2 linked regions of the Macaca mulatta genome follow. The protein of the gene in region 1 purifies or fractionates together with the protein of each later gene. This does not show direct contact. Links are inferred from orthologs where the notes say so. Each region holds a gene or a part of one and is shown on either strand. Other genes may lie near its edges.

What was found.
Region 2: the proteins of DNMBP (region 1) and DNM2 purify together in Homo sapiens (co-immunoprecipitation; 3 studies listed by BioGRID and IntAct, with this or other methods). This does not show direct contact. The link is inferred for Macaca mulatta from reciprocal best matches to the Homo sapiens genes DNMBP and DNM2.

Annotation. Positions count from the first base shown.
Region 1 is NC_133414.1:111,946,574-111,954,823, forward strand, and holds part of DNMBP (dynamin-binding protein), read right to left. Parts: intron 5,813-8,250; coding exon 5,684-5,812; intron 3,267-5,683; coding exon 2,934-3,266; intron 2,532-2,933; coding exon 2,352-2,531; intron 885-2,351; coding exon 686-884; intron 1-685. UniProt on the Homo sapiens protein: Plays a critical role as a guanine nucleotide exchange factor (GEF) for CDC42 in several intracellular processes associated with the actin and microtubule cytoskeleton.
Region 2 is NC_133424.1:11,519,700-11,527,949, forward strand, and holds part of DNM2 (dynamin-2), read left to right. Parts: intron 1-2,213; coding exon 2,214-2,374; intron 2,375-5,983; coding exon 5,984-6,126; intron 6,127-8,250. UniProt on the Homo sapiens protein: Catalyzes the hydrolysis of GTP and utilizes this energy to mediate vesicle scission at plasma membrane during endocytosis and filament remodeling at many actin structures during organization of the actin cytoskeleton.

The sequences.
Region 1 (8,250 bases):
AGTCATGAGGTAAAGCTGTTATGGGGAGAAGCAAGCATGAAATCCCACAGGTTTTTAATTTCCACAAGACAAATTCATAGAAATTGGAAGAGGTGCTGGCTGCGGTGGCTCACACCTATAATCCCAGCATTTTAGGAGAAATAGGCAGGAGGATGGCTTGAGCCTAGAAGTTGGAGACCAGCCTGGACAACATGGCAAGACCTCATATCTATAAAATTATTGAAAAATTAGCTGGGCATGATGGCATACCTGTAGTCCCAGCTAAGGCAGGAGGACCCCTTGAACCCAGGAGTAATAAGCTATGATTGTGCCACTGCACTCCAGCCTGGGCAACAGAGCAAGACTGCCACACACAAAAAAAAAAAAATTGAAAAGAGGGCAGCTTATTTTGTGGCCTACTGGGAAAAGGCTAGGAAGGAACAGGATTCCATGAGGCAGGCCTTCCCGCCTGTAAGTGCTGTAAGACATGGCAAGAGCTTGCGTGATAAGCAATGGCGTCTCCTCTGGAATTCGTCCCAATAAAAACAGGTTTTGTTTCAGTAATGATCTTCACTCTGTAGAGAAGGTTAAGGCTACTTTTCCCCTTAATCAAAGATATTTTTTTTTCCTGGTCTAGTCCAGATTCGGGTGTAGCTAAAACTATTTTTTTCCCAGTTACAATTCCCTGCTGCTGAAAATCTCTTACCTCCATTGTCAATCAGCCAGCGGTTCTGACTGCCCATGGGGTCTTTTTTCTTAATCACACCCACCAGGTCACCTTCCAAAAGTGACACATCCAAGTCTTGAGCAGCATTGAAGTTCCGTTCTGCCTGGAAGAGTTTTTCAGGGGGATACCTGGCCAGGAGGGAGGCCCGGAGTTCTTCTGACTGTAGCATGTAACTTGGCTGAAAGGCAAGACATCAACAAAAATCCCTCAGTGGCCACCACCCCAGCAGCCATATTTCATCCCAACACGCGGCCAGTCTCAGAACTTTTTTTTTGTGATGAAGCCAGCGCACATGGCTACGTAAAAAGAGCCCTTAGGCAATGTTTGATGCCTTTATAGTTAAGAAAATTTGATACACACCTATTCTTACATTCATTTTTCTGTGACAAACATGATTAAAATGCCACTTAAAAAAAAATCAAAATATCTAAGTGATATTAGTAGGTCTTCTTGTATTTTGTTAGATGAACCTAACCAACTGAGACTTTCCCTGTCTTAACTTCCCCACCTGTGAAAGCAAGGAAGTCATAAGAAAAAAGGTAATAATAAATTCAGGCTGGGAATGGTGACTCACACCTGTAATCCCAGCACTTTGGGAGGCCAAGGTGGGCAGATCACTTGAGGCCAGGAGTTCGAGACCCGTCTGGTCAACATAGCGAAACCCTGTCTCTACTAAAAATAGAAAAACTAGCCAGGTATGGTGATGCATGCCTGCAATCCCAGCTACAAGAGGCTGAGGCAGGAGAATCACTTGAACCTGGGAGGTTGTAGTAAGCCAAGATCGAACCACTATACTCCAGCCTGGGTGACAGCAAGGCTCTGTCTCAAAAAATAAATCATAATTCTCCCTTTTAAGGTAATGTAAATTAATGTCTATGGGATCATATGGGGCAAAAATATTGTAAGCAAAGATGTATCCACAGTCCTCTAGATTATGAACCCATATAATCTGGTGTGCCTTATGCTAGTTTTTAAAATATGGAAGAACTGAGTTAAAAAAGACTAATTCCAGGTAAAAAAGGCAGTCAAACATTAACTGTTTAGCTGTATTACTTTTATGAATACAGGATAAAAAATAGGGAGGCCTGGCAGAATTAATACACCCTTAAATCAGTTTCCTGAATTAATGAATCAATAAATTAATACCAGGTGAATGCCCCCACTCCCTGCAAAAAAAAAAAAAAAAAAAGCCCGGGCGTGGTGGTTCACGCCTCTAATCCCAGCACTTTGGGAGGCCGAAGTGTATGGATCACAAGGTCAAGAGATCGAGACCACTCTGGCCAACATGGTAAAACCCCATCTCTGCTAAGAAATACAAAAATTAGCTGGGTGTGGTGGCGTGTGCCTGTAGTCCCAGCTACTTGGGAGGCTGAAAGCAGAATTCACTTCAACCCAGAAGGCGGAGGTTGCAATAAGCCAAGATTGCACCACTGCACTCCAGCCTGGCAACAGAATGAGAGACTGTCTCAAAAACAAAACAAACAAAAACTGGGCAAATGCATGAGCCCATGATGGGTGAGAATGCAACCATTATTCTCCATTTATTATGAAATACAGAAACTCCAATAGTGGGATCTGGGCCTGGCTGCAGGGTTTCCCACTCTTTACCCCGAGGTGGGGCTGCTCCTCTCAGTTCCCTACTAACCAGGCCCACGAGTGACTTTCGAGCAGACTGGCGGTCAATGGTTTTCCTCTCAAACGGCTTCTTGGTAGCTGGAAGAGACTCCGGGAAGAAGGTGAAAACCTGGAGTTGCTGCAGAACTCTACTGTGTTCTTCGTGGAAGATGGCAATAAGGTTTCCCTCCCTGCCGGCCACTTTGAGTAACTGGAGTCCGTGGGAAAAGCAGAGAGAGAGAGAAAAGAAAACACGATGAAAGATCCCAGACTGACAAAGTCTCCTGAGAACCACTGAAGCTAAAGTTCAGCTGCAGCTCACTCTCTGAGCCACGGACACAGCAGCCTGATGCAAAACACAAGTTCTCCAGGGCCCTGCCTGCGGGCCAGGTTGGCTGGCTCCTCTGGGAACTGCTCAAGAGGAAAAGGGATGTCTCAGAAGCCACAGGCTTCATGACACCATCAAGGGATCAAGAATTCCTGAGGGCTGAACTAGCGACACGTTCAGTTAATCTAGTTCAGACAATTTTTCAAACCATGCTACAATTTTTCCCAGAAAAATACCAGGCAAAGGCCACAGATGACCATCCCACTGAAGGGGTAAGAAACTCACTGAAAGCAGTGGCTTTAATTGCTCCAGAGCCTGGCGCACGAAGTCACAGTGGGCTTCAGCGTAGCCGTGGACACAGTTGGTGAAGAGGCCCTGGGCGTACTGGTGGAACTTGGGCAGCTCATCTAGCAGCTGCGCATTCAGGGCCTCGTAATTGTTCCGGGCCGATTGCAGCTCCTCCAGGGTCTTCTTGTCCTTTAGCTTCTCTGCCCGTTCTGTACAGTTATAGAAGTCCAGGAGCTTGTCAAAGCGTTTCTGTACCAGCTTATGGGGCCCTGTAAACATGCTCAGTAACTGATTTAAGGGGGAGATGACAAGCCGCTCTGTCCTCTCCTTCTGTAGGGACGAGAAAGGCACATTGCTCAGATGGACAGCACCCCACATTTGTGATTCTCCAAGTCACTCTTAAGGCTGATTTTGCTGTGTCCTCAACGACCTACTTTGTTTCTAGTACACAAGCTAAACCCATGCAGATCTACAACAGTATTCTACTAACCCATCACTAGCCTCTACTTAAATACTCCACAAGACTTCTCACTACATACTTCAATTCCCACACCAAAGAGTATGTAAAATATGCTAATCCCACTTGAGCTCCTTGAGGTGATAAATGCTAAGCTGCACGCTGATATGTGCATTAGAAACTAGATGTGATAGTTTACCTGGTAACATTTCTTATGTGTACATGTCTACATAGCTTGAATTTAACTCCAGAGTTAGTTGTTACATAAATCTGGGGTGGAGTAACTTTCATACACTCATAAACCTTTAATCATAACTAGGTAATACCGTTTTTTTTTTTGTTTTTTTTTTTAGACGGAGTCTTGCTCTTTCACCCGGGCTGGAGTGCAATGGCGCAATCTCGGCTCACTGCAGCCTCAGCCTCCCAAGTGGTTGGGATTACAGGCATGAGCCACCACACTCGGCCCCCATTTTTATCTTTCAAAGAATTTTTCTCTTGGCTGGGAATGGCGGCTCATGCCTGTAATCCCAGCACTTTGGGAGGCCGAGGTGGGCGGATCACTTTAGGTCAGAAGCTTGAGACCAGCCTGGCAAAACCCTGTCTCTACTAAAAATACAAAACTCAGGCAGGTGCAGCGGTGTGCACCTGTAGTCCCAGCTCCTCGGGAGGCAGAAGTTGCGGTGAGCCGAGATTGTGCCACCGCGCTCCAGCCTGGGTGACAGAGAGACTCCATATCAAAAATAATAAATTTTTCTCTTTAATTCTTTCTAACACACAGACATTAAGGGTAAGGCAATGAATACATAAAGAACATAAACAGGTACTTAGTAGTACTTAATAGCATCTTATTAAAAATAATGTACAATTAGAACACCTGTCAGCTCCCCAGCTGGGCATGTCTTTTTCACCTTCAAGCCATTTATAGATCCCTAAGAAACTATCAAATCCCATCCAGTTTTTTTTCTACAAGGGATTAAATAATCCCATATATATGGATTTAGAATTTCTCAAGAAATTTGGTCTTTAAGTATTTTTTTTGAGACAGAGTCTCGCTCTTGCCGCCCAGGCTGGAGATCTCAGCTCACCATGACCTCCACCTTCCAGGTTCAAGCGATTCACCTGCCTCAGCCTCCTGAGTAGCTGGGATTACAGGCATGCACCACCATGCCTGGCTAATTTTGTATTTTTAGTAGAGACGGGGTTTCTCCATGTTGGTCAGGCTGGTCTCAACTCCCGACCTCAGGTGATCCACCCACGTTGGCCTCCCAAAGTGCTGGGATTAGAGGCATGAGCCCGGCCTTGAAGTAGTTTTTATCATCTCAAATCTCTTTGGTAACATATGAATTATATTCCTAAATATTTGTCTTCAAGGTTTTTTTTTTGAGATGTAGTCTCACTCTGTTGCCCAGGAGGGAGTACAGTGGTGCAATCTTGGTTCACTGCAACCTCCTCTTGGGGTCAAGCTATTATCTGACCTCTGCCTCCTGAGTACCTGGAATTTCAGGTGCCCACCACCATGCCCTGCTAATTTTTGTATTTTTAGTAGCAGCAGGGTTTCACTACGTTGGTCAGGATGGTCTTGAACTCCCGACCTCAAGTGATCTGCCTGCCTCTGCCTCTCAAAGTGCTAGGATTACAGGCATGAGCCACTGCACCTGGCCCCTCTTCAAGTTATTACTCCTATAGTTGTTTTTATTTGATCAGTTAATTGCCTAGTTTTCCTGTGTCCTCTTTAACTAAATTAATCACAAGCTATTTTTTTTTTCTTTTTTTAGAGATGGAGTCTTGCTCTGTCGCCCAGGCTGGAGTGCAGTGGCGCAATCTTGGCTCACTGCAAGCTACGCCTCCTGGATTCCCGCCATTCTCCTGCCTCAGCCTCCCGAGTAGCTGGGACTACAGGCTACTGCCACCATGCCTGGCTAATTTTTTAATATATTTTTCAGTAGAGACGGGGTTTCATCGTGTGAGCCAGGATGGTCTCGATCTCCTGAACTCATGATCCGCCCACCTCGGCTTCCCAAAGTACTGGGATTGCTGGCTTGAGCCACTGCACCCGGCCCTACAAGCTGTTTTTTAAAAAAATCTGTTTGTACAGACACAGGTCCTACATTTCCCTTTAACTAACTGAAAGTCATGTTGTGAATATCAAACCCCAATATGAATATAGCTAAAGGATGACTAATATGCCTGGCGCCCAGGGCCTGCGTCTGTGGAACTGACTTTTGCATGAGCTGATGCATTTGAGATGACCTTGGGAAGGGGGCCAACTTTTGAAGAAAAAGTTACTTACAAAGTTTGTGAAGAGCTGGTCACTGATATAGCGATGCACCCTCTCAAACTGCTCCAGGTCCCGGTGTCCTCGCTCCATGCACACATCCCACATGCTCACGGCAGCCACCACTTTCACACACGCCGACTCCTGGAGCCAGTGAGGACAGACACAAGTCAGAACAGACAGAACTTTCCAGCCTTTGTCATCCATCACCCTGAATAGCAATCTGGGAAAAATGCGTTCCATAATTTGAAATTTCCTCACTAGTCTGGTATTTGAGCTTTGAAATAAGCATATTTTCAACAACTATGACTTACGGAGCACAGAGAAAAGTCTAAGAGTTTTATTTCTTAAAAAATTAGGGAGGGCTTTTATCATCTCTTTAGTATTATTCCCCTATGTACCTAATAGGTTTTCTTAATTTACCAAAAAGTAAATTATCAAATTAGAACCAAGGTGATTCCTATAGGATTATGACAATGACCAGTCGCTTCTCCTTCCTCAGGTCTTGGTTCATGCTGTCACCGTCTCACAGACAACTGCCCTGCCATGCTACTGATCATGCCAGCCCGGTTTCCCATCCCACCCTGGCGCTCCCAACGGCTCCTGCTGTGCTGCTTCCTTTCTTTGTCTTTGCAAAAAAATACCCTCTCACATGACTAGAATTGACTAATGCCTGCTTATTGTCATGCTCTCCTTCACCCACCCTCCTAGTAAAAATGCAAGCTCCATAAAGGTAGACTTTTGTCTGTTTTGTCTGCTGACTCCATTATCACAGAGTCAACTCCTCCAGATAGTGATAGTTTGAACCCCAGGTTGGTTTTCCAGGCTTTCTTTTGAGACCAGCCTGGCCAGCATGGTGAAACCCCATCTCTACAATGCTGGGCTGTAACCCAAACAGACTAAATACTCCATTAGTCTATTTCAAGGGCAAACAAAGTCCCTAAGCAAAAACCTTCAGTGCCTCACACATTGGTTTGATGCTTTATTTTTATAACAATTTTTAGACCTTTTGTCGTTAATATTTATATCTGTACATACAAAGCCAGGGCTTTGTCAGTAAGATAATCCAGGGAATGTTGCTAATTCCTCCTGACTGGGAGATGTAATGTGAAACATGATGTCCTCTTGTTTTCTTTTAAAGGAATGCTGTAAAGTCCCCAAATATCAGCCCATATGCCAATGTAGATACCAAATTATCCAGCCAGTGGCCCTCAGCTTATGTTCTCTCTGGTTTTCTCACTGTTAGTCAATCTATCTAATTTTATTATTGGGCAGGCTTTTCATTTTGTGGCATGACAGAACTGTTCAACATTTTCTCTCAATTTCTGTCAGCAGTCAGAACCGAATTGACACTTCCATCAGATGGTTTTCAACGTTACATATATCCCAACCCAAAATGTATCAGTCATTGCTACGGAGGTGAGACTTTTAAGGGCTGAGGGCTCAGGTGTAGCGTGTCACACTTTAGAAAACCTGGGGAGAAAATGGCCAACAGAGGGATATCAGCATGAGAGAGGTATTAGGGGAAAGTCCTATGAAGCAGCAAGACAAAGAAACATACTCAGTAGCTGCCCCAATATTGTGTGTGTTTTATTTTTCTTGAGATGGAGTCTCACTCTCACCCAGGCTGGAGTGCAATGGCACGATCTCAGCTCGCTGCAACCTCCACCTCCTGGGTTCAAGTGATTCTCCTGCCTCAACCTCCCATGTAGCTGGGTTACAGGCACCCACCACCATGCCTGGCTAACTTTTGTATTTTTAATAGAGATGGGGTTTCACCATGTTGGCAAGGCTGGTGTTGAATTCCTAACCTCAAGTGGTCTGCCCACCTCAGTCTCCCAAAGTGCTGGGATTACAGGCATGAGCCACTGTGCCCTGCCTGTTTGTTTTAGAGATAGGGTCTTGCATGTTGCCAGGCTGTCCTCCAACTCCTGGGCTCAAGCAATCCTCCCACCTCAGCCTCCTGGGTAGCTGAGACTACAGGTGTGTGTTAACATGCCTGGCTCATGCCCCAATGTTTTGTCAAATCTCCCACTTTAAGCCAATGTGCTTCTGCAAAGTTTTATCAACCCTAATTTTTACCTAATTATATATTTTCTTTTTTTTGAGACAAAGTCTCACTCTTGTTCCCCACACTGGCTCAGCTCACTGTAACCTCCGCCTCCCGGGTTCAAGCGATCCTCCTGCCTCAGCCTCCCGAGTAGCTGGGATTACAGGCACCTCCCACCATGCCCAGCTAATTTTTGCACTTTTAGTAGAGACGGGGTTTCACCATGTTGGCCAGGTTGGCTCCTGACCTCATGTGATCCTCCCACCATGGCCTCCCAAAGTGCAGGATTACAGGCATGAGCCATCGCGCCTGGCACTAGTTACATTTTTAAAACACAAGGGTGAAAGTTTGCTATTTAAAAGAAACTAGGGGGCATCTCAAATCAGTGGGGATTACTCAATAAATGATAGACCACTGGGTAACCAGCTGGAAAAATAAAGTTGAATCCCTGCTTCAAACCTGATTTACTAAAGTCCAGATAGAGCAATGATTTAATCTTAAAACAATGGAATGATAAAAGTACTAAAACACA
Region 2 (8,250 bases), on another chromosome or scaffold:
TGGCACAGTGGCTCATGCCTGTAAACCCAGCACTTTGGGAGACCAAGGCGGGTGGATCACCTGAGGTCCGGAGTTTGAGGCCAGCCTGACCAACATGATGAAACCCTGTCTCTACTAAAAATACAAAAAAGAATTAGCCGGGTGTGGTGGTGCACACCTGTAATCCCAGCTACTAGAGAGGCTGAGACATGAGAATCGCTTGAACCTGGGAGGCGGAGGTTGTAGTGAGCTGAGATTGCGCCACTGTACTCCAGCCTGGGTGACAAAGTGAGACTCTGTCTCAAAAAAAAAGAAAATATCATCCGTGTGTGATGGTACATGTGCCTGTACTCCCGGCTACTCAGGAGACTGAGTTGGGAGGATGGCTTGAGCCCAGGAGTTCAAAGCTATAGTAAGCTATGATTGTGCCACTGCAATGCAGAATGGGCAACAGGGCGAGACTCCATCTCTTAAATAAGTAAATCAACCCAAATCCAAGCTAGATGCCTTTTGCTGGCCCCTGCTGTTTCCGTCTTCGTGCTGTCACACAGGTGATGGTGATTTTGTCTTCACAGGGATCTAGGTTCAGATCTTGGGTCTCCTACTGTGACCTCACCTTGGCATGTCTCCATTTCCCTCCTCCCTCTTGGATCTGAGAGAGATCTGGAGAGGATGAAGAGCAGTCACATCTCACAAGACCTTACAGGATAGATGACAGGCACCTCTCCCCTTCTCAAGAGAAAAGATGCACAACCCCACTGCAAAGAAAATGGAGCATAGGCCAGGCGCAGTGGCTCACACCTGTAATTCCAGCACTTTAGGAGGCCATGGCTGGCAGATCATGAAGTCAGGAGTTTGAGACCAGCATGGCCAACATGGTGAAACCCCGTCTCTACTGGAAAAAAAAAAAATTAGCTGAGTGTGGTGACACACGCCTGTAATCCCAGCTACTCAGGAGGCGGAGGTTGCAGTGAGCTGAGATTGCGCCACTGCACTCCAACCTGAGCAATGAGAGTAAAACTCTGTCTCAAAAAAAAAAAAAAAAAAAAAAAACCTACGAAACAAAAACCTAGCCAGGAGTGGAATGACAGGCATTCCACTAGGATTCTTTACAACAGCATGCATTGAATTATCCAGCTTTTCTCCTCCATACGTTGAAGTGTTAACTTTCAGTTCTACCTCCTTCTCGGTATAGTTTTGGACTTTTCTTTCGGTTCCACTGATCTCTCTGGACATGAATACTCTGATGTACCCAACTGTTTAAAATATACTTGTTTGATAGTGGATTTTAGCTGTTCCCTATTGCTCTTGTTTTTAATATGTTATTTCTCTTTGTTCTTTTGAGACAATGCCTTGCTCTGTTTCCCAGGCTGGAGTGTAGTGGGGTAATTACAGCTTGCTGCAACCTCGAACTCCCAGGCTCAGGTGATCCTGCCATCTCAGCCTCCCAGGTAGCTGGGACTATACACATGTGCTACCACGCCTCGCTAATTTTTGTATATTTTTGTAGAGATGGGGTTTTGCCATGTTACCCAGGCTGGTCTCGAACTCTTGGGCTCAAGTGTTCCACCCACCTCAGCCTCCTGAAGTGTTGGAATTACAGGTGTGAGCCACTGCACCTGGCCTTGAGATTTTTTTTTTTTTTTTTTATTCAGAGTCTTGCTCTGTCGCCCAGGCTAGAGTGCAGTTGCATGATCTTGGCTCACCGCAACCTCCACCTGCTGGGTTCAAGCAATTCTCCTACGTCAGCCTCCCGAGTCCCTGGGACTATAGTCAGGCGCCACCATGCATGGCTAATTTTTTGTATTTTTAGTAGAGATGGGGTTTCACCATGCTGGCCAGGTGGCCTCGGACTCCTTACCTCATGATCCACCCGCCTCGGCCTCCCAAAATGATGGGATTACAGACTTGAGCCACCGTGCCCGGCCGAGATTTTTTTTCTTACCTGTCTTTGAATCTCAGCTTGTAGATTTCATCCGCCCCAAAGCTTTTTTCTGTCCCTGCACACACAGGCTGGATGTGATCCCTCCTTCCTCCAAATACTTAACGTTCCTCTTCGCAGCTGCCATGTGCATTCGCATCCTCTGTGTTGTTTCCGAGTAACATGTTATGACATAGTCTGTGAGTGCCTTGTGGGACAGGATACATCTCTATACTTGAATCTTGCCCATCTCCATGCCAGGTACACTTGGCTCACCTAGCTTTGCCCCTGCCCTGACTGCCTCTCCCCACAGGCTACATTGGCGTGGTGAACCGCAGCCAGAAGGATATTGAGGGCAAGAAGGACATCCGTGCAGCGCTGGCAGCTGAGAGGAAGTTCTTCCTCTCCCACCCGGCCTACCGGCACATGGCTGACCGCATGGGCACACCACATCTGCAGAAGACGCTGAATCAGGTACTGCAAGGGTTTGCAGAGTAGTGTGCAGTGGCGTAGGCTGTGCACTGCACAATAGCTGCAGTCCTCACTGGCACTTGTTTCAGGCTAGAGCAGCAGTTGTTTTAGCAAAATAGGTTCAGTCCACATTTATTTGTGCTGTAATAAATGTACTTGGCCAGGTGCAGTGGCTCATGCCTGTAATCCCAGCACTTTGGGAGGCCAAGGCAGGAGGATCACTTGAGCCTAGGAGTTCGAGACCAGTCTGGGCAACATATGGAGATCCTATCTCTAGGAAAAATAGAAAAAAATAGCTAAGCATGGTGGCATATGCCTGTAGTCCCAGGTACTCAGGAGGCTGAGGCAGGAGGATCACTTGAGCCTGGAAAATCAAGACTTCAGTGAGCTATGTTCATGCCACTGCATTCCAGCCTGGGCAATAGAGTGAGACCCTGTTTCAAAAAATTAAATAACTAAATAAAAGCAATGTACTTGATTTAGGGTCTGGTGAAAAGCAGATGTTCAGTGACTTGGTGCTGCTACTATTACAACCATCGCTGTTATTACCAATATTTTAATTACCATTGTAATTATTCAGTCATTTACCCAGAAGATTGTATGCATTGCGTGGTATTGGTGACGGGGTTTATAACGTTTTTATTTATTATTATTATTATTTTTTTTTTTTGGGGGGGAGACGGAGTCTCACTCCATCACCTAAGCTAGAGTGCAGTGGCATGATCTTGGCTCACTCCAACCTCCACCTCCCAGGTTCAAGCGATTCTCCTGCCTCAGCCTCCTGAGTAGCTGGGATTACAGGCATGTGCCACCACACCCGGCTAATTTTTGTATTTTTAGTAGAGATGGAGTTTCACCATGTTGGCCAGGCTGGTCTCAAACTCCTGAGCTCAAGTGATCCACCTGCGTCAGCTTCCCGAAGTGTTGAGATTACAAGCATGAGCCACCGTGCCTGGCCTATCGTTCTCTTCTTATAAGTAATATATTCACAGGGTGCATAAACAGAAATGGTATTAAAAGCTATACAGTGGGCCAGTGCGTGGTAGCAGGGGCAAGATGTTCCTCTGTGCTGTTTTCCAGCACCTTCCAGGATGGCAGCAGGGCCTCAGCAGCACTCCAGGAGTCATCTTTTCACGCACATATCGGGGCACGCAGTGTCCACACGAGAGCAGGTTCCTGTCCTTGTGGAAGGCATAATTCTAATGAGGGAGACTGACACCAAACAAACCACCAGAGAAATGCACGATCAAGAATCCAGTAGGGGCGGGGACCGGGAAAAGAGCCACCCAAAGAAGGCAGCTCAGGAGAGCAAAGAGGGAAGTCAGTGTCTAGAGGGAGGGGCCCACCAGGAGAGGAAGCTGGGGTCTGCCTGCAAACGGGAGTAGGGAGAGGAAGGGAAGTAAAACTCCACAGCTGGCTGGGTCCTCCTGAGAGCCAGCAGCGAAAAGCCCAGGTGGCCACCAGGGAGCCTGGAGGGGGCTCAGCCTCCTTTCGCGTGGGGTGCTTCCCAGAGCAGCAGTGCCCCTTCCTCTCCATTTGCTCACGGCTTCAGTGCAGTAGTATCCTGTCAGAGACCAAGGGAAGGCCAGCGTAGCTCCCTGCCTTTCTAGGCAGCCCACACAGACGGGGGTCCATGGCCGGGGCTGCAGGGCAGGGATCCCTGGTCAAGGAGATCTTTGGGGTACCCCACTGGCTCCATGCCATAGATGTGAGGTTCCTTCATGCCTCTTTTCTAGCTCACTGGACACTTTTTATTTTATTTTTATTTTTTTGATGAATTTTTTTTTTTTTTTTGAGATAGAGCCTCACTGTGTTGCCCGGGCTGGAGTGCAGTGGTGTGATCTCAGCTCACTCCAACCTCCACCTCCCAGGTTCAAGTGATTCTCGTGCCTCAGCCTCCCAAGTAGCTGGGATTACAGGTGTGCGCCACCACACTTAACTAACTTTTGTATTTTTAGCAGAGACAGGGTTTCATCACATTTGCCAGGCTGGTCTCCATCTCTTGATCTCAGGTGATCCGCCCGCCTCAGACTCCCAAAGTGCTGGAATTACAGGCATGAGCCACTGTACCCAGCCTGGCCTTTTTTATTTCTCACCCCCCGCCCCAAGATGGAGTCTCCCTCTCTCCCAGGCTGGAGTGCAGTGGCGCAATCTCAGCTCACTGCAAGCTCCGCCTCCCGGGTTCACGCCATTCTCCTGCCTCAGCCTCCTGAATAGCTGGGACTATAGTCACCTGCCACCATGCCCGGCTAATTTTTTTTTTTTTTTTTTTTTTTTTGTATTTTTAGTGGAGACAGGGTTTCACCACGTTAGCCAGGATGGTCTCGATCTCCTGACCTCGTGATCTGCCTGCCTTGGCCTCCCAAAGTGCTGGGATAACAGGCGTGAGCCACCACCCCCGGCCCATGCCCGGCCTTTTTGATGATTTTTCTCTGTTATCCAGGCTTTCTGATGCATTTTACTCTGTTGTCCAGGCTGGATTGCAGTGACACAAACACAGCTCATTGCATCCTCAGCCTCCTGTACTCAAGCGATCCTTTTGCCTTAGCCTCCTGAGTAGCTGGGACTATAGGCGTGTACTGCCACACTCAGCTAAGTTTTAAAAGGTTTTTATTTTTGGTAGAGAGAAGGTCTCACCATATTGCCTGGGTTGATCTCAAACTCCTATCCTCGAGTGATCTGTCTCAGCCTCCCCAAGTGCTGGGATTACAGGTGTGAGCCACTGCACCCAGCCTTGATGAACACTTTCTAAATTCTTCTCTATTGTGGGACAGATGGCAGAACTCTGCTTTACACTTTTCAAGTATAGGCTGATTTTATAGCTTTGTTTTTCTTTTTCTTTTCTTTTAAATTTTTAAATTAAAAAGAAATTTTTTTTTTGACAGTCTTGCTCTGTCACCCAGGCTAGATAGAGTACCATGGTGTGATCTCGGCCCACTGCAACCTCCACCTCCTGAGTTCTTTCTCAGCCTCCCGAGTAGCTGAGACTACAGGTGCCCACCACCACACCCAGATAATTTTTGTATTTTTTGGTAGAAACAGGGTTTCATTGTGTTGGCCAGGCTGGTCTCAAACTCTTGATCTTAAGTGATGCTTCTGCCTCAGCCTCCCAGAGTGCTGGGATTACAGGTGTGTGCCACCGTGCCTGGCCCACGTTTGTCTATTTTGAATCTTTCTTGCTTCTCTCTGTAGATGCAGATGCAGCCAGGGAGGTCATCTTAAGTGCGTTCTGCTGCTTTTCAGGGGAGATCTTTCCGTCTTAGTTTGTAGGGCCTGTCCCCATGTGTGTTCATTGGCGCCCATGTTCTGTGGTCTGGATGGACTGTCCTTGCAAGTATTTGCATGTCCCCAAGGCGTTGATATGCCCAGTGCCTGATGTCAGCCCCACGGGCTGTTTGTAGCCTCTTACACTCATGAGCAGCTCCGTACCGTCTCCTTTCCCAGACACGAGTGTATCTGTGGCTTGATATATCTGTTGCTGTCTCAAGGCTGTGTGGTGTGCTGGCCTCATAGTGGCACCCTGGTGTTGGCCCTTGGTGGGGGGAGTATGCCTGCTACCCACTGGTCCCCTGCCCATGCCACCCTTTCTGATCTCTGACCTCTCTCCTGCAGCAACTGACCAACCACATCCGGGAGTCGCTGCCAGCCCTGCGTAGCAAACTACAGAGCCAGCTACTGTCCCTGGAGAAGGAGGTGGAGGAGTACAAGAACTTCCGGCCCGACGACCCTACCCGCAAAACCAAAGCCCTGCTGCAGTACGTACCCTGGCACCCGCCCCCACCACCAGCCTGGCTCCTGCCTTCCATCCGCCACGGGGCCCCCTAGACTGGGCACCACTCATCACTCGTCCACTCATTCATTCAGCAGACACTCGCTGCAAGCATTCTGCGTGCCAGGCTCCATCCTAAGCACGGCAGTCGCCCCAGTGGACGGGACAGGTGTCCATCCCTGCCCCCTGGAGTGCTCAGAAGCGGGGGAAGTGGGATGAATGGGACAAAAAATAAGAAAGAAAATGTATAGTGTGTTAAATTATGAAAGTGGTGCTAGCGTGGGAGTCGTCGGGAACAGCCTTCTTTAGAAGGGGAGCATTGGCCGGCCAGGTGCAGTGGCTCATGCCTGTAATCCCAGCACTTTGGGAGGCCAAGGTGGGTGGATCACCTGAGGTCAGGAGTTCGAGACCAGCCTGATCAACATGGTGAAACCCCATCTCTACTAAAATTGCAAAATTAGGCCAGGCACGGTGGCTCACGCCTGTAATCCCAGCACTTTGGGAGGGCAAGGTGGGCGGATCACAAGGTCAGGAGATCGAGACCATCCTGGCTAACGTGGTAAAAAAATTACAAAAAATTAGCTGAGCGTGATGGTGGGCGCCTGTGGTCCCAGCTACTCGGGAGGCTGAGGCAGGAGAATGGCATGAACCCAGGAGGTGGAGCTTGCAGTGAGCCGAGATTGCGCCATTGTACTCCAGCCTGGGCATCAGAGCAAGACTCCGTCTCAAAAATAAATAAATAGGCCGGGCGCCGTGGCTCACGCCTGTAATCCCAGCACTTTGGGAGGCTGAGGCGGGCGGATCACAAGGTCAGGAGATCGAGACCATCCTGGCTAACACGGTGAAACCCCGTCTCTACTAAAAATACAAAAAAATTAGCTGGGCGTGGTGGTGGGCGCCTGTAGTCCCAGCTACTCGGGAGGCTGAGGCAGGAGAATGGTGTGAACCCGGGAGGCGGAGCTTGCAGTGAGCCGAGATCCCGCCACTGCACTCCAGCCTGGGCGACAGAGCGAGACTCCGTCTCAAAATAAATAAATAAATAAAATTGCAAAATTAGCCAGGCATGGTGGTGCATGCCTGTAATCCTAGCTACTCAGGAGGCTGAGGCAGGAGAATTACTTGAACCCGGGAGCGGAGGTTGCAGTGAGCCGAGATCACGCCATTGCACTCCAGCCTGGGTGATAGGGCAAGACTCCATCTCCAAAAAAAAAAAAGAAAGTGAGCGTTGGCCAGGCATGTAATGTAATCCCAACGTTTTGTGAGGCTGAGGCGAGAGGATCACTTGAGGTCTGGAGTTCAAGACCAGCTTGGCCAACGTGGTGAAACCCTGTCTCTTCTGAAAATACAAAAATTGGCCGGGCATGGTGGCATTCTCCTGTAATCCCAGCTACTTGGGAGACTGAGGCAGGAGAATCACTTGAACCCAAGAGGCAGAGGTTTCAGTGAGCTGAGAACACATCACTGCACATCAGCCTGGGCAACAGAGTAAGCCTCTGTCTCAAAAAAAACAAGAACAAGTTGAGTGTCAGGCGAAGACCTGAAGCAGGTGAGGGAGGGAGCCATGTGGGATGAAGCCTGGCCAGTGCACAGGCCCTGGGGCAGGACTGGGTCGGGCATGTCAGAGGAGGACCGTGTGGCTGGATGGAGTGAGTGAGGGGAGGGGGAGGAGGTAAAGGAGCAGCTGTGCAGGGCCTTGTGGGACCTCATGGAGGACACTGGCTTTTGCTGTGAGTGAGGTGGGAGCCATGGACAGTTCTGAGCGCAGGAGGGTCAGGGCTGACTCAGGTGCTCACAGGCTCCCCTGGCTGCGGTGGGAGAAGAGACATGGGAGAGAGGGTAGGAGTCAGACCTTGGGTTAGGTCCCTCTCCGGCTTGGGCTTTTAAGATCCGCCCCGTGACTTGGTTGGTGCAGCTGCCTAGCTGTGAGGTTTGGGAGCAGGTGTGCCCCCACAATCCCAAATTCTCACTCAGGGACTCTTCTGCCTCTGACCTTTTGGCTTTGGGCCTGTAAGGGTCCCTGAGGCACTGGAACAGCTGGACCAGAGCAGGTGACAGGGACTCCTGGGTAGCTCATACTGCAGACGGTACCATGCACAAGGCACTTCCCACA